Linked DNA regions of Schizosaccharomyces pombe. Changing the gene in region 4 together with the main gene of any one other region gives a genetic interaction. Each region holds a gene or a part of one and is shown on either strand. Other genes may lie near its edges. The genes, in order: asl1, omh6, zds1 and emc10.

Region 1 (4,603 bases), 5.0 Mb from region 4:
TTACTAAACAGCATTTTTTTATACCTGAACACTACTTCTCAATTTGCTTAGCTGTCTATTTAAATATTATGTTATCAATACTCATCATATATGTACTTGCTCTTGCTTTCTTGCTATAAGCTATAAATGTAGTATTTTATGGTTTTATGTAAATGTCTAACGAGTTTTGCGCTGTATACCTCGTTTAAAAAGTCATTTTCCTTAGCGCATATGAAAACTATAACATCGCGATTTTTATTACAAAAGAACTTTTAAAACAAAATCAAATAAAGTAACTTTTTAATTAAAATACCAATCTTTTGCTACAACTTCCAATACCATCATCACCTTGTCCTGTTTGCGTAGATATCTGTCGATAACCAACCTTCGTCGCCTATTTACCATCACCTTATTTTAACTGTGTTTTGAAGTTGAACGTAAAAAAAATTTCTGAAATGTCAAAATCGCTTATTGTTTCGTCGCCAGGAAAAACGATTTTGTTTGGGGAACATGCCGTTGTATATGGAGCTGTAAGTTTACCTAAGGTTTAAAGCAGATTACATTAGCGAGAGTTTTTAACAGGCTAGTACTGGATACAGCTCTGTTATGCATATATGATTTCTTTGTAACATAGTATTTGCAAAGCGAACACCACTTTTAACTTTGACAGTCGTCGCAAATGTCATTCTGCTATAGCCATGCTTATTTTTGATTCTAATCTTAAGCCATTTTAAAGCGAAAATATGGAGATCATTTAAATTTTTATGCTAACTTTCTAGACTGCGTTAGCTGCAGCTGTATCGTTACGGAGTTACTGTAAATTACAGACGACTAATAACAATGAAATAGTAATTGTGATGAGTGATATAGGGACCGAACGCCGATGGAATCTTCAATCGCTACCTTGGCAGCATGTAACAGTGGAAAACGTTCAGCACCCGGCATCATCTCCCAATCTGGACCTTTTACAAGGATTAGGAGAGCTATTAAAAAATGAAGAAAACGGACTTATTCACTCAGCAATGCTTTGTACCCTTTACTTGTTCACGTCTTTGTCTTCTCCTTCTCAGGGTTGTACTTTAACTATTAGCTCCCAAGTACCTTTGGGTGCTGGATTAGGTAGTAGTGCTACTATATCAGTTGTTGTCGCTACAAGTTTACTACTAGCTTTTGGTAATATTGAACCTCCTAGCTCAAATTCTCTTCAAAACAACAAAGCACTTGCGTTGATAGAGGCTTGGTCTTTTCTAGGTGAATGCTGTATTCATGGAACACCAAGTGGTATTGATAATGCAGTAGCAACAAATGGAGGACTTATCGCTTTTCGTAAAGCTACAGCTCATCAGAGTGCCATGAAAGAATTCTTAAAGCCTAAAGATACCTTATCTGTTATGATCACTGATACCAAACAACCAAAAAGTACTAAAAAACTTGTACAAGGAGTTTTTGAACTGAAGGAAAGACTACCAACTGTGATTGACTCAATAATAGATGCAATCGATGGCATATCAAAGTCTGCCGTCCTCGCATTGACTTCGGAGAGCGATAAAAACTCCTCCGCTAAAAAGTTAGGAGAGTTTATTGTTCTTAATCAAAAACTCTTAGAATGCTTGGGTGTATCCCATTATTCCATTGATCGCGTTTTACAAGCCACTAAGTCAATTGGATGGACGAAGCTTACAGGTGCCGGTGGTGGAGGTTGTACGATTACTTTATTAACACCTGAGTGCAAAGAAGAGGAATTTAAGTTATGTAAAGAATCACTATTAGCCCATAAAAATTCTATTTACGATGTTCAATTAGGTGGACCTGGTGTTTCAGTGGTAACCGACTCAGATTCATTTTTCCCTCAATATGAGTCTGACTTTGATTTTAAAAAATTGAATTTACTCAGCAAATTTAATAAATATTATATTTAAAGTTTTTATGTATAATCAAATTTTCATAACTGGTATATATATGAGTGGCTTGATAATGAACGCGGCTTGTCGTTCACCAACCACCACAGTAGAAGCTAGTCTATAAGAGTCGTTGTCCGTTCTTTAGCAACACTCCTTTCCACTCTTTTATATATCAACTATATACCAAATTTCATCTTTTCTTTCTTTTTTTAGTATTAGACGCGTTTTATCTAGTATTTTCTAAAAAAATGCGTACTACTTTCGCGACCGTCGCTTTAGCTTTTTTATCGACCGTTGGAGCTTTGCCCTATGCTCCTAACCATCGCCATCACCGTCGTGATGATGATGGCGTTTTAACCGTGTATGAGACTATCTTGGAGACTGTTTATGTTACCGCAGTTCCTGGTGCTAACTCATCTTCCTCATATACTTCTTACTCCACTGGTTTAGCTTCTGTTACCGAGTCGTCCGACGATGGTGCTTCAACGGCTTTACCTACTACCTCTACGGAATCTGTGGTTGTAACAACCAGTGCCCCTGCTGCTAGTTCCTCTGCCACTAGCTACCCTGCCACTTTTGTTAGTACTCCTCTATATACTATGGACAACGTTACTGCACCCGTATGGTCCAATACTTCTGTCCCTGTATCAACTCCCGAGACATCTGCCACTTCTAGTTCTGAATTTTTCACTTCGTATCCTGCTACCAGTTCCGAATCTAGCTCTTCTTATCCTGCTTCTAGTACTGAAGTTGCTAGCTCTTATTCTGCTTCTAGTACTGAAGTTACTAGTTCTTATCCTGCTAGCTCTGAAGTTGCTACGTCAACTTCATCCTATGTGGCTCCTGTCTCGTCTTCAGTTGCTTCTTCATCAGAGATATCAGCTGGCTCTGCTACATCTTACGTCCCCACTTCCTCATCATCTATTGCTCTTTCTTCTGTAGTTGCAAGTGCCAGTGTTTCTGCTGCTAACAAGGGAGTTAGTACTCCTGCTGTTTCTTCAGCTGCCGCCTCCTCTTCAGCTGTCGTTTCCTCTGTTGTCTCTAGTGCCACTTCTGTTGCTGCTTCTAGTACTATTTCCAGTGCTACCTCAAGCTCTGCATCAGCATCTCCTACTAGTTCTTCAGTTTCTGGCAAGCGCGGTTTGGCCTGGATTCCTGGAACTGACCTTGGTTACTCTGATAACTTTGTCAATAAGGGCATCAACTGGTATTACAACTGGGGTAGTTATTCATCTGGTCTGAGTTCCTCTTTTGAATATGTTCTCAACCAACATGATGCCAATAGCCTTTCTTCAGCTTCTTCTGTTTTCACTGGTGGTGCTACCGTCATTGGATTTAATGAGCCTGATTTGTCCGCTGCTGGAAATCCTATAGATGCAGCTACTGCAGCTAGTTATTATCTTCAATACTTAACACCTCTTCGTGAATCTGGTGCCATTGGTTATTTGGGATCACCTGCCATCAGTAACGTAGGTGAAGATTGGCTTTCTGAATTCATGAGCGCATGCTCTGATTGTAAGATCGATTTCATTGCTTGCCATTGGTATGGTATTGACTTTAGCAATTTGCAAGATTATATTAACTCTCTCGCCAATTACGGTCTCCCTATTTGGCTTACTGAATTTGCTTGCACCAACTGGGATGATAGCAATTTACCTTCATTGGATGAAGTTAAGACTTTGATGACCAGCGCTCTTGGCTTTTTAGATGGACATGGATCTGTTGAGCGTTACAGTTGGTTTGCTCCTGCTACCGAACTCGGAGCCGGTGTTGGTAATAACAATGCCCTTATCAGTTCCTCTGGTGGATTAAGTGAAGTCGGAGAGATTTATATTTCTTGAACTCCTTAAATTTACACAAAATGGGAAATTATCTTGTGAGATATAATGGTAATTCTTATGCTTTTTTTTCGTTCTTTAAACTGTCAAATACTCTTATTTCTTCTTGCTCTGAAACTCTTTTTTATGATATTTTGTTTCATGGTTTTTGTCGCTTTTTTTTGAATACTCTGCCATCTATCAGATTGTTTAAGCTTTCTGAACTATGCTTATAGGAGATGTGCTTCTTATTACATCGATCTTTCATTTATTCATTCGTTTATTTTACCAACCATGAAGTTCATTGTGTTTGATGTCACAATTTTTAAAGCGTGTATTCAATGAATATGCTGCGTGTTTTAATTTAATACAGTCGTTAAATGTCTTTTAAATTTTATTAGTAATCTTTTCTGTAAGCTTTGGAACTCTTGATAAAGTCGTTTAACTTTATTTGCTGACATTGTTGATGATCTGTAGTATAAAGGTAAATAATAAGCGAAAGTCTCGTCTATAAAATGAAAACAAATGCATAATTGACTGCTGTAATGATAAAACAACTATTTCTCCATTGCGCCATTGTGGGTGGTTTGATATCTGGGTGTTCTTTACATGCTTGTTTGCCTCTTTTCAAAAGGAGGTCTTAGCAACTTTGGACACACGAACAAGAAAAGGCTTATTGAACTATAGGATATTAGAAGCATGAGCAATTTAAGAGACATCACAAACTTAATTAGCAGATATTAAAAGAAAAAGTTATCTCGAATCTCTTGCGAAAAATTTATTAAAGTAACCTTTTTTTTGCATAGTTCTTTGCAGCAGATTTAACTTACGCCGAGTAATCTAGTACTAGATTCTTAACCTGCTCTACTCACTGTAATCATAAAAAGAAACTCTACTCATGCCCCT
Region 2 (4,608 bases), 1.8 Mb from region 4:
GATACAAACTTATAGTTTTTAATTTGCTCATTGCTTTACTAATATTGAGCATCCTGACAATTATTTCAGCTAGCAGGCTTTCCCGTCGGCGTCGACAACTGCTGAACAAGCAACCAGTTTTTGGTTTTTATCATTCGCTTGTAATTGCCAAATCAGACTGAAATGTTGACAATTCAACGACCTAGTAAACGATGAAAAGGAGCGAAAGGTTTTTTTTATATACTCTCTTAGGGTAGCATTTCTAAATCATTTATTGCTAATACACTTGTGATGTTGCTACAAACAGCCCACAAAACTGATTGTTAAAAACTTTGTAGTCCATTTAATTTGACAAGGACTTATACACGAAAACAAAGTACCTCAAAATATGACGAGAATATTATCATTAAAAATTCAGTTTAAGTATACAAAATACCATACTGGCAACCTACCTCAAACGGTCAAGCTGTACAAACGAAAACTACATCGACAGGTCAGCCTGTTTCTCATCAAAACATCACAACGCCCATTTTTATTTGTTCATTAACAGCGAATTGGAAGTTTAAAAAATTCAGTTTTAAATGACAAAGTAAAATTGTAATAAAATAATTAATCGTATTCATACACATGATTAAACTATCATAAAAGAAGAACTACCCAAATGAAAAATGTCAACTGTATGGTTTTACCCAACTGCAAGGATCCAGAGATCATGTAGCGAAAGATTTAGGAATATACAGTTGTCAGAGGATCAACCAATTCCTCTCCAAAGGAGAAGGATCAGGATCACTCCAATCGTTTTAGAATCTGTTGGCTAGGCTACGCAGCATCCTTTAGTCAATTTTCATGGCAAGACGCCAACTCTCAACCTGCAGTCGAAACTGCAAGGACAATCGCCGCCCTGTCTGTACTCTTGTCAACCTCTACACGCCAACCATGTTACACGCAAGATTCTCGAAAGAATCTGAACAATGTAACTTCAGATTCATGATAGGTTATAACGAAGTGCAAACGAGACTTTATATAGTTTGTTGAAAATTACAACCCTAACCCTAGTGACTGTTTTACCCTTAGTAGTCTAGGAATTTTGGTGTTTCCAGAAAGCAAAAAAAAAGGCTCGTTAAAATAAGATTGTGCATTATGAACAACCACAGTATATAATTTGATCGAAAGTAGTGAATTAGTTTGCAGATATTGGGAAAATGTCTTAAGATACATATGCCACTTGGGTTTATGAAATATTATTTTATAACATTTTACTGAGTTTGTATTCTAGAACAGCTGAAGCTTTCCTATACTTAAACTTATTGCTTTTGTTTACATTCATCAGCAACAATGAATTGTTTAATAGACATTAAAAACCATTATAAAAGACGAATGCAAATTTTATAATTCCTTTGATAGAACTTAAATATTCCAACAGTAATAACAGCTCGACATAGCGACTATCAGTACGCTTATGCAAATGTCATTTATAAGATTATGCTCGTTAGCAGATTCTTTCAGTGATCTACCCATCAAACATTGTATACAAAAATTGATTTGCTAAAAATAAATATTTATACTCAAAGAGCTCTCTTTTCTAAGGTCAAATCTCTAGCAGGGTATTAACATTTGCCCTTAACCATTGTCTTAGGCAATTTCAGTTAAATTCCTTCAAATCCACTTTCTATGCGTTACTTTTGGAGTCATACGTTAGTTGAACTAGTTACTTCTCATAACAGGGAAAGTTCTGCTCGTGTTTAAGCTTCATTATGTTTTACGAACTTTTACTTTCCATACTACCAATTGTATTTACCTGGTTGAATGGATTCTCTGTAAATGAACCCAACAATGTATATGTGATTCTTAATGAACCTCAAAGCTCCAATTTGAGTGCTTCTTTTCTGATGTTTACCGCGTACGGTGCCATTTGAGATGTACTTTCTAATTCTGTTTTCTAGTAATGCTGAACTTGGGGAAGTGTTGCGCACGATGCGTAGCGTAGAGGATAGATTTAATAAGAGGTTTCATTATCCTTGGACGTTTTACGGCATGGATGAGTTTACGGAATACTTTATGAGTACGACAAGCACGATTGCGTCTGGTCATTGTGAATACGGTACGAAGGGAATAACTTATACCAATCATTTACAATTTATTCTAACTATCTCTTACTTAGTGCATTGGGATCTTTCTCAAGTAAAACCCCTAGTTGAAAACAATCGACTTTATCAACAACGAGCAGATGCACTTGCTCAAGAGAATCTATCTTACGTATACTCTCCTTTGTTTCACAGTTTTCAAGATTGGGTAGTTCGATCTTTATTATATCATCCTCAATTGGAATACGATTATGTTTGGAGAATAGAACCCGGGCTCAAATTGGTTTGTGAAGAAAAAAAGTAAGAAACTCGGTAAAACTTGTTTATTTCGTTCTTCTTTTTCAGGAAACCTAACTAATATTTTTGTTCAGAGATATATTTTCTACTTTCAAAGACAGCGACATTGTATTTACAAACCACGTCTGTGAACGTAAACACTCTGGTATATATGCTATGGAAGAGGCAATTGAAGAATACAAAATTTTAAACACTCAAGGAGATTTCAGCAATATCTGGGTTTATAGTAACAACTACACCTATTGTAAATACTGGCCTTTTAATGAAATTTTATCTCTAAAGCAAATTCGGCATAATCAGACCTACACCAACCTAATTAATTACTTGCTTGGTTCAGGAGGAACATATTATCATCGCTGGAGTAAGTAAATTGCTTCTTCAATTTTGGAAATGACTTTATTTAACCTGTTTCTAATATAAATGCTTCACGTTGTACTTTTTGCTGACATTTATTTAGCCGAGTCTGATATCCTTTCAGCAGCATTTGGTGTTTTAAGAGCGCGTGCTAATCATATGGAATCAGTGGGATTTTTCTTAAACGATGATGTTCATTATTGCCCAGAAACTATTCCATACACAGGAAGATGTGCATGTTTGTGATATTAATTGATGAATGAGCTTTACAGAAAATTTTTGTTCATACGAATTTGTTTTATGAAAGTTATTGTAATATGTGCATTTTCATTTACAAACGTTGAGACACTTGAAGTGAAAAATTAATCTGGTAGTGGTAAAATTATAGCGTTGTCTTTCCGTTTTTCAATCCTAATCAATAAATATGTATATATCATGTGTTTATTCTTCATCATTTTGCCTTGGTTTTATAAGTCCATCGGTGATCTTGTAATATACTATCGTTGAGTCAGAACACATGATTCCCAGGTATAGGAAAAACTCATCTCCAGAAAGACCTCGAGCATCCTTTACAAGTGGAAGGCTCAGTTTCTTCATAGAATCGAAAACAGAGGACAGAAACTCGATCGAAATTGTCTCTTGGAGGTAAAGCGGCAGAACATATTGCAATTTGTCTTTGAGCTGTCCATTTACGGGAATCCCTGAGAGTAAAGGCCTTTTTGTTTTTAAGTCAATATCAAGAACATGTACCTTTAATTCACACCAACGTTGACCGAGCCTTAAGTCGGTTTCCACTGCTCTCAGTATTCCATAGTATGGATTTTGCTTTTGCTCTTCTACAGCATCGTTAGGGAGAAATGTATTATGTTGCATGTGTATTTGTTTATAATAAATATATCTTTACTTTTGAGAAGGAAAATTTTGTTGAAAAAATGAATTATCGCCTCCGTGATAAAACTTTTAACTTCAACCAAATGGCACAGAAAAGGAACAAGCAGTCAAAAAAGCCTAAACAGACTTCAAAAGGAGTTAAGAAATCCTCAAAACAAAACAAAAACTCCTCTAAAAACAACAAATACCAACAAAACGTCCTTTTACAGAGTATTGATGATTACAACACTACGCAGAGCGTACTAAGAAGTGCTCATAATAGCGGTTCGAAGATGAGCGATATATCCAATTCGATCCAGCTTCTTTCCATGACCAAAAAGCAGGAGAATTAATTCCTGAGCTATTTTCGTTTCATGGTTCATTTCGCAGTTTTGGCATTGGCCATTGTCTGAACTTATAATGTTTTTACTGGGTTTCGGGTTTACTTTTAAAATTTTCTTGTTTTTATTTTGCATACTTAATTTTTATGAAATTTTATTTTATTATACTTGTATTATTTGTAAATAATTGTGGTTTGTATCTAATTGTGTTAGTAGTAGTTTCTGATTTTTTACAATAAGAACGCACAAATCCTATTCCTAGAACTACATTCCACCTGCCCTCAACCTAAACCTACTGTTGGGTCATAGAATCGAAGTCGAACGTAGTGTTTGAATTTTTTAACTATCACTTCGTTTACATAATACATTTGTGTAAAAATTGAAGGGTTTCTAACTTTTTGACTAAGGGAGATACCTAAATTTTGGAAAGAATTGTTTATTAGAAAACTGCTTCATTTTTTTTGTATAATCAGGCCTAAAAAGAAAAAAAAATCTTTTTTCCTCACTAATATCTTTACTTAGTTAGCATTATGTCTGCTCAAAAGTTGAATTTGGAGGATGTTAATGCTTCTACAAAAAAATATTCTAGAGGGCGCAAGCTGAATCCAAAGAAAATCAAGGATAAAAAGCTTCGAAGCAATATTCAGAAAATCGAGGAGAGAATTGAGAATGTTGAGTCTTCC
Region 3 (6,937 bases), 640 kb from region 4:
TAATTTTTGCGATAAGGTTTTGCTCGAAACGAAAAGAAAATTCTTGAAGCTGTGCCACTGCTACGGAGTGATTGTTCTCTTCTTGAACTTGTCGAGCCAAACAGTTTAGCACTTGTCTATCTACAATAAAAGGGTCGTTCTTAATGTTTACAGTAGGTGGACTGGATGCTCTCCATGGTAAAAGAGCCCGATCTAGTAAGGAAAGATACTTTTGAGTTTCCGCACGCTGCTTTTCAACTACTTTCACACCTTTTGTACCTTCCGCTGCGATTTTCTTACAGTGTTCACGAAGGTCTTCACGAAGAAGTTCTAATATATTGATGATAGTACCTGGCAACTGGATAGATATTTGCTCGCTATCCGAAGCGATGGCAGCCGTTTGGTCTCGAAGCGCTGCAAAAATATCTTGAATTCCGTGTTCTTCAAATACATTAGCATCTTTGTAAGGATGGACAATAACTTTGCTCAATTTCATATACTCCTTTGCATTGTTTTTTGACGTTGACTCTAATTGCTTAAAGAATGCAATCAGATTTTCCACCAAATGTCTCCATCCTTCAAACCGATAAGTCAAGGAGTTGCAAAGTCCCATATATGCGTCTGTGTTTGGGACTGCATCTCCGTTTGAAGCCTGGTTTGGAATCTCCGTCCTGGTTGGAAATTCCGATTTCCCTGAAAGTTCCATCTTGTTGGTTCTTGGTGAAGCTTTTTTGACTTGGAACTTGTTAAAGAAAACGATCTGCTCGTATGACGCCAATCACCCTCCTGAAGGGGTTTGCTGTACCGATATAAATGTTCTGGGTTGGTATTCTGTTTAACGTAACTCATAATAGGAAATTGGTGGTACTTGAAGTAAAGGGTTTTGTTGGAAATAGAACATTCAGTGCTTAAGAAAAAATGTCAAAGAAACAGGTGAAGCAAAATTTGAACTTGCAATGTATGTTCGACTTGTATATTTATAAAATTATCGACCATCATCAAACAAAGGCTTGATATGCTCGTTAGTTATGGCAAACAATAGGTGCTTGCTTGGGAACATAGGTATTTTGTACCTTTAATGAGCAATTGATACATTATTGGGAAATTATAGTTGATAGGGAGTTTGAACCAAGGAAAAGGTTTTTCTTCTTTTATTCAAACGTTTCAATTTCTTTGGTTCTGCTATAAGGAAGTAACTCAAGAAACTGCCTCCGTTGGACTGGATAAATATGTCTATTTTCTTTGAATAGGGAAAAGCAGGAAGAATGATGGAACTAGTAGAAATCAAGTTTTGAGGTCAGAAAATATAAATATTATACTTTGTACTCCTTTTCAAAAATACTTAATTAGTCGAATTTTCGCCATTTTTCTATGTCGCTAAGCACTCATATTGCAAATTTTTTACTAAAAAAATAACGCTATGAAAGAAATTAAACATAGATAGGTTTTAGCTCTTTTTTTTTTCCTACTCAACTTATCCAACCTAATACACTAAAGTACCTTTTGTTTACATTTTCTAATACTGTACTTCGTTGTTTTGCGTTATATAAATTGTACGAGTCTTCGACACAAGTGATGAAGGACGATTGCGCTGCGGCACTATAAGCTGCTGAGATGCAATAAAGGTGTCTTGGTATTCCAGAGCATCCTTCCAGCACCCAAACATTTGCATAGTTCGTATTTTACCCTTGAAGGAGGGAATAGCATTCGCTGTGAAAAAAAAGAAGTTACTTTTTTGATTTCGTTTTTGAATCTCGTGTGTTTACTTCGTCTGTATTGGGAAAACCAGTGTTGTATGAAACTCGGATTGTTTGTTTTTCCAAATTATTCCTTTCTACGCTTTGTTAATCATTGAGGTGTTTTTCTTGCATTTCTTTCATTTCCCTTTTTTGATCGGAGTAATTAATTAAATTACTTTAATATTCCAAGGCGCCCCATTGTTGCTGTGCTGTTTGACGGACGGTCGGCTGTGCTTGTTTCTGAGCGGATCTGTTCATGAAATTGCTTTTTAAATTCCTTAGTTGAAAACTGTTATTTCCATAAAGCTATTCCATGCGGCCAAAGGCTATTTTCTGATTTGTATTGACGAATTATCCGTCTAGTACCCAACCTTACTAGAATTGGAACATTTTATTTATTTTCCTTTTTTTTTTTAAAAACGAAAAAAAACTGGACTTTTGTTTCGCAAATACGGATTGGCAACGGTGGGAAGATTGAAAGAAGACCTATTGTGATTATTACTCACGTATTGGGGTGTCTCATTTTCCTTTGTAAATAATATTTGAAACCATTTTATTCTACTTTTCTTTCTTTCTTCTCAAATTAAAGTATAATAAAGTACTTGTTTATTCAAATCCTTTGATTTGCCCCTTTTTCTTTTTTTGTTTTTACTTTGCTTTTCATTAAATATTTTCAACTTGTTCATTTCTAGGATACATTTTGAGAGCATTGCAACTTCAATTTCCTCTGCAACTTAACTTCCTATTTCTTCTTATTTTTTTAATTCTCTCACAAACTTGGCATACGATTCCTTTCTTTCTTTTTTATTTGATTAATTCTGTCAAACTATTTTTTCAACTGATTGGTTCTCTTTCTTTTCTTTTTCCTTTTAAATAAAAAATAATGTCTAGTTCTTCAGTTTCTAATACTCTATCCATTGAGACTAAAAGTGACCCTAAAGATCCTGCTTTCGTTGCTTCTCAGGAATCTACTGAATGTAATGAACATGACACAACCCAGCTATCTGGCTCTTCATCTGAACCACTTGAGAATAATTCCTCTTTAACTCGCTCAACAGATGATCCGTCGGTAGAAATTCGTTCGAAGTTGGTGAGCCCTGATAATGAAGCTAACTTATTGAGTGATCAAAATATCACAATATCAAATGAAAACAACAATGAAAACGATACCACAGAAGAAGCGGAGACTTCTAGCGGTAACGAAGCTGCCGATGATGAGGATTCCTCCTCTGATGCTCAGTCATCTGTCCCTTCTTTTTCGGAAATTCATGATGGGATGTCTGAAGAAGAGTTGGATAAAGAGAGGAAAACTCTAACACATCTTCGAAGAATATCTCTGCAAGGAGCTGATGATCCTGAGATTCCAACTGACTGGTCAGTTGCGATGTCCCCACCTGAAACCGAACAAGATGCATCTACCCTATTCTGGGTACCAGCAAATTTACATCCTGAATTGAACCCGACTGGTTGGAAATCGTTTTTGGACCTTCAAGTTAAAAACCTTAAGTCCCCTACTGCTACAGACACATCTTCAAGTCCTCTTGAGCACATTCGTTCCCTAAGAAGAAGAAAGTCATTGTTGTCACGACAGGTTAAAGCTGACGATGCTGTAATTAATTACCAAGATGGCAGTCCGATCGTGGAGAAAGCGTATCTCAAAAGGCATAGATCTTTACGCTTGAATGAGTTAGAGCATTTGGAATCTCTTGCACGTGATCCCCATAGGATGGTTTCTTTAGTTGATGGCATGAGCAACGGCTCTCCCGAAGATTCGCCTTTACTAGTATCTCCTAATCATTTTCTTCAACGTTCCTCAAGGACGACAATTCGAAGGACAGGTGCTTCGATTCGGACTATCCACCGGGGTAAAACATCAACTCTATCTGGCAACCGTAGTCACTCTATTTTGCAAAAGCCGACCGATACTTCGCCTCTACATAAAATAGAGCCCATATCTGCTGATGAACTTGTTGAGTCGGATGACTCTAGAACTTCGGCGCTGTCAAACTCTCAAAATCCATCGGACGATGTTGAAAACCAATCTGACCAAGCTCTAGAGGTTTTATCCTTGACGAATCCACCAAAGATTGATAACGCCTCTGCAGATACAACCTTACATAAAGAGACGAATAAGATCGATAAGCTGTATGTTTCGGAGAATAAAGCTGAAAGTGCTGTTGCATCTGAATCTTCGTTATCCGAAGGTACTCTCGCATTGAAAGCACCGGCACCGGAAAACAAACCTGAAAAGTCTAGTACATCGAAACCGCCAGTACCAGAAAATAAGGCTGAAGATTCTGTTGTATTAAAGTCGTCGGTACCAGAAGATAAATCTGAAAATTCTATTGCGTCGAAACCGTCGGCAACGGAAGGTATACCGGAAAATGCTATTGCGTTGCAATCATCGGTACCAGAAAATAAGGCTGAAGATTCTGTTGTATTAAAGTCGTCGGTACCAGAAGATAAATCTGAAGATTCTGTTCCGTCGAAGTCGTCGGTACTGGAGGATAAACATGAAAATTCTGTTGAGATTGATAAAAAAGCAGATGACTCATTACCTTCTAATAATAAAACTGAGGGTTATACACCTTCAGTAGTCCGTGAGGAAAAGAATTATTCTGAACCGAACGCTTCTCCTTCCGTAATACCTCCTAGAGTCCCTACTCCTGTGCCTGGTAGGACTTTAAGTCCAAAGCCTACTAGGATACCCACGCCTATTCCTTCTTCTTTGAACGTTTCTTTAGAGTCCTCAAAAAAGCCAGAGATTTTTCATGAGCGTCATATTCCGACTCCTGAAACCGGTCCTAATAAGCCATCGAAAAACAATATTTTAAAAAGCACTCAAGTTCCCGTTACTCCAAAACAAAAATCATCCACTGCTAACAAAGGTTCAACTTCTTCACCAAGTCCACCCTCTTCTGAATCAAAGAAAACCAAGAGGTCCTGGGGCCGTCTTTTTGTGTCTGGTGATTCTGATAAAGAACACAAAGAACACAAAAAAGATAAACAGAAAAAGAAGAATGACCAAATTTCTTCTTCTTCAAAGTCTGCTTCTTCTTTTAAAAAGGACCGAGACAAGGAAAGCATTTTTGGATCTTTATTTGGCTCGAAGAAAAAGCAGACGGAAATACCCCCTGTATCTTCTTCTCCACCGCATAATGATGCCCCACCAAAAGCAAAGCCAATTTCCGCACCTAGTGAATTGCCCAATACCACTTCTGTCGCAGAAGCTAAGTGTCAGACAGTGACAGATGACGAAGGTACCGATCAACAAAGTGATGAAAAGAGTACGGAACCAAAAACGTTTATTCCTGATAAGGATTATTACTGGAGTCGTTTTCCAATTTGTACTGAACGTGCCATTTATCGTCTCTCTCATATAAAGTTGTCAAACGCGCATCGCCCATTGTTTCAACAAGTTCTCTTAAGTAACTTTATGTATTCATACTTAGATTTAATTTCTCGAATTAGCTCAAATCGCCCGATGAATAATGTACAACAGTCTACTGCTAAACCAATACGCAAAGACATTAATGGACAACAAAGGCGTTCAGAGTTTTCAGCAGAAAATGTAAAAAACGAGCTGGAGAATCTCAGTTATCAATTTGGAGATCAGCGTAAGCGAAATCTTAATAGGAAAGGATCGACTATTCATACCGTTTCTCAAAATATTCAAAAAGTTTCAAAGAATGCTAAATAATCATTTTACCCTACTGCTATTCGTTGGTCTAACATTTTTCCTCATTGGTTAATTATTAGCATTTGGCGACTTTTGTTATATGTTACAGGGTCTTCATTGTCTTTAAAAATTTGTATCTTGTTCACCAACACTTTCTGGAAGCAGGTGGTTATTTATTTTCATGAGTTAAATATAAAATTCTTACTCAATGCATAAGTTTCTAATGAATTTCATTCGCTATGCTACTTTACATTGTAAGGGGAGTACGAAGTTACCCATTCTATAATAAATTACCAATTCTTTTTCGCTTTATATTTGTACATAGCCTCTATTTTGAAGTAATCATAGAACGCTACTGAAGTGCTATACAATAACTTTTTTTTTCTAAACAATGCTTAGGATAAATGAAAACTGCCCTGTCCTTCTAAAATAGCCTTAGAAAGTCGACTTCCTAAAACCTCACTTGAAGAATACTCAGGTAGTTTCAAATAATTCACACAAGTCATCACGCTTGGAAGATAATCATCAGGTACATAAGGAGGTTCATTTAAGCGCCTAACAACAGTTAACGGGGGATTTAGGCCAGCAAATCCTCCAATAGGAAGTTTTCGGCTTCCAGTAATAAATTGCAAAAAGTCTCTTTGTTCTTGAAAATTCATTTGACTCATCAAAGTCAGTAATCTCTGGATTGTAGGACTTTCCATGGTGTAACCGTGATCTGCTACTATAGATTTCATCAAGGTCGCGTAACTCCAATCCTCATCGACAGTACCGAATAGTGTGACCAATTCATGTTCTGTCAAAACTTGCAAAGAAGTATAAGGAAAAACGCTGGAAAACCCATTTTGAAATGCTTCTAATTGTTGTTGAACACCCTTTCCAACAGTATAGTCAATGACATAATTTAAATAATCACTCACATTGAATGTTGTCACAGGTGTACTAGCTCCATCAGGTATGAGTTCAATAGACGGAAATCCCGGTAGAGTAAAATCGAGATGAAGGTCTTCAAGCTTAATGTCCGTCTCGGCGTTTGTAGGGTTTTTACCCGGTATTAATTTCTCTAAATATCGTAACGAGTTAGCTAAGCCCTTGTCAACTTTCGCTACAGAGGAAATGGTTAAAGGTATATTTCGTGCAAAGAAAAGTGGATTAAACTGAATGCTTATTATCCTTGAATCATAAATCGAGCGTGCAACGAACTGTCCAAGAGCAAAGAACAACGAAATTTTTCTTTCATTTTCTGGACTGGACCCTAATAATGGAATAGGAGAAGGAAAAAGTCCAGACGCTTGGTACACAAATTTAGAGTTGGGTTGATCATTCCGCCAAATATCGAGAGAATTTAAGGTAAATTCTTTAGATACTGAAGTATAGAACTCCAAAGTGGGCCCAAGACCTGAACCAACTTCATCTTCGTATTCTATTTCAAGAATATTTTCAGAAGCCGCATAAGTTGCAAGCAAATGCAAAGCGTAATTAAATATTTTTTTCCGAGAAATACGAATTTTCTGGCGATGTAAGCTGACAAATTGAAGTA
Region 4 (3,192 bases):
AAGTTACTACCTTTTCCCGTGGCTCGAACTTATAAGCATAAAATCTAAAAAAGCCATGAAGTAAACTTCCCAATGAGCTATAATTTTGGGAAGGAGGGATATCTTCCAGTTTATCGTCAAAACCAACGTCAAATCCATCAACTATCTTTTCTTGTTTCAAAGGTGACAACAGTAAATTAGGAAAGACGGGAGGCTTGATAACGTGAATCAGATAGTAAAGAACCATTAGGACGTAACCATAACTGGAAAGAGTTCCAAAGTAAGGAGAGTTGATTTGCTTCCGTTTGGCCCAATGCTTAACAAGAAGGACCATGGGTTTTAGGCGAGCATCTAATTTTGTATATGAAGAAAGTAAAAGCGTATTATGAATAGCTAGACGATTGTTAAATCCAATATCACATTGAAACGAAGCCCCAAATCCATTTTTCGTATCAGATGTTAATTTGATAATGGGAATTCTTGCCCTTTGTAAAAATTTTCCTTCAAATCCTGTCGATAGTTAGTTATGCGAGCCAACTGGAAAGGAAAAAAACAATATTCAGAGATAGTTTGTCTAAACTGAATAACTTTTAATGAATAATTATACTTACCTTCAGCTATAAGCTCTTCATAGAATTGGAGCGCAATTGTATCACTTTGGACGCGCGAATCCATAAGCACGCACAAATCCATATCCGAATTTTTAAGTGCTAAACCAGATTCCAAACTTCCAAAGGCTACCAATTCAGCATCTAAGTCACATATCATTAGAATTGGACATTATCAATATTTGGTAAAGTCTCCACTCTCGTTAACTACATAATTGAGACAGTCCTAAATTTATATTCAAACATACCAGGGGATATTCGTTTAAGGCATAGCCGAAGTGTATCTAATGCCGCTCTCTTTTCTTTAAACTCTTTGTCACTAATTTTAATCTCATTATACACTTCATAGCAAAACTTCGTAAATTCCTTGTGCGAATTAGGGACCTTTTGGTAGCTACAACTTTTTGAAATATGTAAATTTTTGTGAATTTCTGCCTCAATCTCTTCAACTGTGTGAACACCAGGAATAAATTGTGCAGAAGAAATGTTCATATTCGTCTACTGCTCAAAAGGTGAAAGTGGCAAACTTATTCACTTTCTCTTTGAGTAATTATTCACTGTTTAATGGTCTTTGATGCTTCCTTTTACTAATTGAAGCAAGTCAGTTACAGTGTTTGCTTTTGGCAAAAGCTCCTTTACCAATTGATATGTTACTTAATAGCAGTAGGGGTGACAGCGCTAATGGATGAGGAATGAGCTATAAAAAGCAGTAAAGTAATTGAAAAAAGTTAGGAAGAAGAAATCCTAAGGTCCAAATGTTTTCTTTCTCACTTAAGAAGCGAATGTTGTATGGCTAGTAATGGTTTATGTGAAAAAGGAAAATTAGCAAATAATCCGTTGAAAGCCTTAATCATGAATATTTCTAACAATAACTACTAATATTTAGTTTATTTTTATGTCAGCGAGCTATCTTCGTCACAGTTAAGCAAAATAGCTTCACTTGATGATTATGGACGAGCTTAACACCTAAACACTACGCTCTTCCTACTTTCAGATACAAAAAGTAATTTTCGTCCGGAAAAGATAATATATTTTATTAATCTCATAGATTTTACGAAATTTACTAAAAATGCTAGGACAAGGCTTGATTTTTATCAGTTTAGCCTTTGTTGCTCATGCATTAGAAATTCCTATTTCTTGCGCTGTATCACATAATGAGCAAACAGAAATATTTCCACATGGTACTATTGATATCCCAGAAATGACATTTCGTCCTTCGGACTCACAAATTGATTGGAGTAATCTTTCTCACTCTGATTTTGTACAATGTGGAGTATACGAAGATTCTACCAACACATGGCTTGCAGGCGCCAGCAAATACAAAATTGATGAAATAAAAACCCTTCCAAAAGTACCTAGAGACCACTATATCATACTTTGTGATTCATCAGAAAGCAATGAGATTGCAAAATTTACTCAAGTGGTCCACTCATTTGATTTTTCATCCGACTCAGAAAGTGCTGTAGTCGAGCAATTGCATCCTTCTTCTCCAATTCCAATTTTAACTACTGCTGTCAGAAAAAAGGGATCACGTCCATCTAAACCCCAGAAGGAAAAACAAGGAAATAAACAGGGTTCTAAAACCGAAGAATCTCCAAATGTGGACGAAGATGAATTAGAGTCCGAACCTGAGGAAAAGACATTTTTCCAAAAATATGGTTTATATCTCATCCCGATATTGTTTCTGATAATTATGTCTGGTAACAATGCAAATCAACAGGCAGCAAATACGGCGAAATAAACGAGTCATTATATATATGCCTTAAAACAATTGCGTCTCGGCTACGATAATTTTTTGATTATTGCTACTACTTACTGTGCTCTTTACAAATATTCTAATTCATCTATTTCCATTCAATAATACTGCTATGTGCCAGATGTACGATACTTAATAGTACTTTAAAATCTATACAAACATTTGTAATGAAATATCGTATAGGAAAGGTTAAAATAAAAAAGAAGGAAGTTTCTACGTGCACATAACTAATTTAGTCTTTAACAATTATTCCATTCCAACATAAACAAGATTCATTAATAACTAGATATAAACATTCATTACACGCATGAGATAAAATCAATTTTTAACAACAATAAGGAAGGAATTACACATGATTACCGGAGAGTGTGGTTAAGTATTTTTAACATAACCTTCGCGTCAGATAATGTAAAAAATGAGGAATTACACAATCTCACATAAATAGAACATAGTGTGTACAAACACAGAAAATTAAAGAACAGTCGTTTCGTTAAGTCATCAAGGGCTTGGAAGCCTGGTTAACGCCGCTATTTAAATAATCCACGACGTCGTAGAGAAATTTGAATTGCTCAAAGTTTTGAACCATTTTCATCCGTTGTGATCTCAACGAGTTAACACAATTGAATATGAAATCTTTTGAATCTTCCAAATTGGTCGTCTTGGGTAAAATGTTTTTTGGTACCTGAAGTATTTGGTCTACAGCAATAAAAGTACCAGTGCGTCCTACGCCTGCTGAACAGTGAACGAACATTGGTCCATCATTGGGAACCTTATCAATACAACGTATGATTCCCGTGATGCTTTCAATATCTGGATGGGTTTTGTCAAACCACGTGTGCACCCAAAAGT

The links.
Region 1: mutations in emc10 (region 4) and asl1 together harm fitness more than expected from each alone (negative genetic interaction), as found in Schizosaccharomyces pombe (one large-scale study listed by BioGRID).
Region 2: mutations in emc10 (region 4) and omh6 together harm fitness more than expected from each alone (negative genetic interaction), as found in Schizosaccharomyces pombe (one large-scale study listed by BioGRID).
Region 3: mutations in emc10 (region 4) and zds1 together harm fitness less than expected from each alone (positive genetic interaction), as found in Schizosaccharomyces pombe (one large-scale study listed by BioGRID).

What each region holds. Positions count from the first base shown.
Region 1 is NC_003424.3:191,414-196,016, reverse strand, and holds asl1 (O-glucosyl hydrolase Asl1), read left to right. Parts: upstream 1-1,966; 5' UTR 1,967-2,128; coding exon 2,129-3,721; 3' UTR 3,722-4,089; downstream 4,090-4,603. Other genes in the region: mevalonate kinase Erg12, read left to right, coding at 435-509, 759-1,898.
Region 2 is NC_003424.3:3,391,238-3,395,845, reverse strand, and holds omh6 (alpha-1,2-mannosyltransferase Omh6), read left to right. Parts: upstream 1-1,601; 5' UTR 1,602-1,896; coding exon 1,897-2,363; exon of another isoform or gene 2,364-2,434; coding exon 2,435-2,721; intron 2,722-2,739; exon of another isoform or gene 2,740-2,817; coding exon 2,818-2,960; 3' UTR 2,961-3,155; coding exon of another isoform or gene 3,156-3,937; 3' UTR 3,938-4,096; downstream 4,097-4,608. Other genes in the region: pdi4 (protein disulfide isomerase), read left to right, coding at 1-161; tRNA-splicing endonuclease subunit Sen15, read right to left, coding at 3,156-3,587; SPOM_SPAC959.11 (uncharacterized protein), read left to right, coding at 3,572-3,937; U3 snoRNP-associated protein Utp7, read left to right, coding at 4,456-4,608. UniProt on the Schizosaccharomyces pombe protein: Probable mannosyltransferase involved in O-glycosylation of cell wall and secreted proteins.
Region 3 is NC_003424.3:4,564,706-4,571,642, forward strand, and holds zds1 (zds family phosphatase type A regulator Zds1), read left to right. Parts: upstream 1-1,632; 5' UTR 1,633-2,601; coding exon 2,602-5,418; 3' UTR 5,419-5,792; downstream 5,793-6,937. Other genes in the region: slm1 (cytoskeletal signaling protein), read right to left, coding at 1-685; SPOM_SPAC12B10.01C (ubiquitin-protein ligase E3), read right to left, coding at 5,793-6,937. UniProt on the Schizosaccharomyces pombe protein: Has a role in establishing cell polarity. Also required for maintenance of cell wall integrity, sexual differentiation, calcium tolerance and cell morphology. Involved in Ras-MAPK signaling pathway at cell cortex. Has a role in meiosis.
Region 4 is NC_003424.3:5,204,600-5,207,791, reverse strand, and holds emc10 (protein Emc10), read left to right. Parts: upstream 1-1,555; 5' UTR 1,556-1,656; coding exon 1,657-2,328; 3' UTR 2,329-2,637; downstream 2,638-3,192. Other genes in the region: terminal uridylyltransferase Cid1, read right to left, coding at 1-489, 591-731, 836-1,079; protein tyrosine phosphatase Pyp2, read right to left, coding at 2,834-3,192.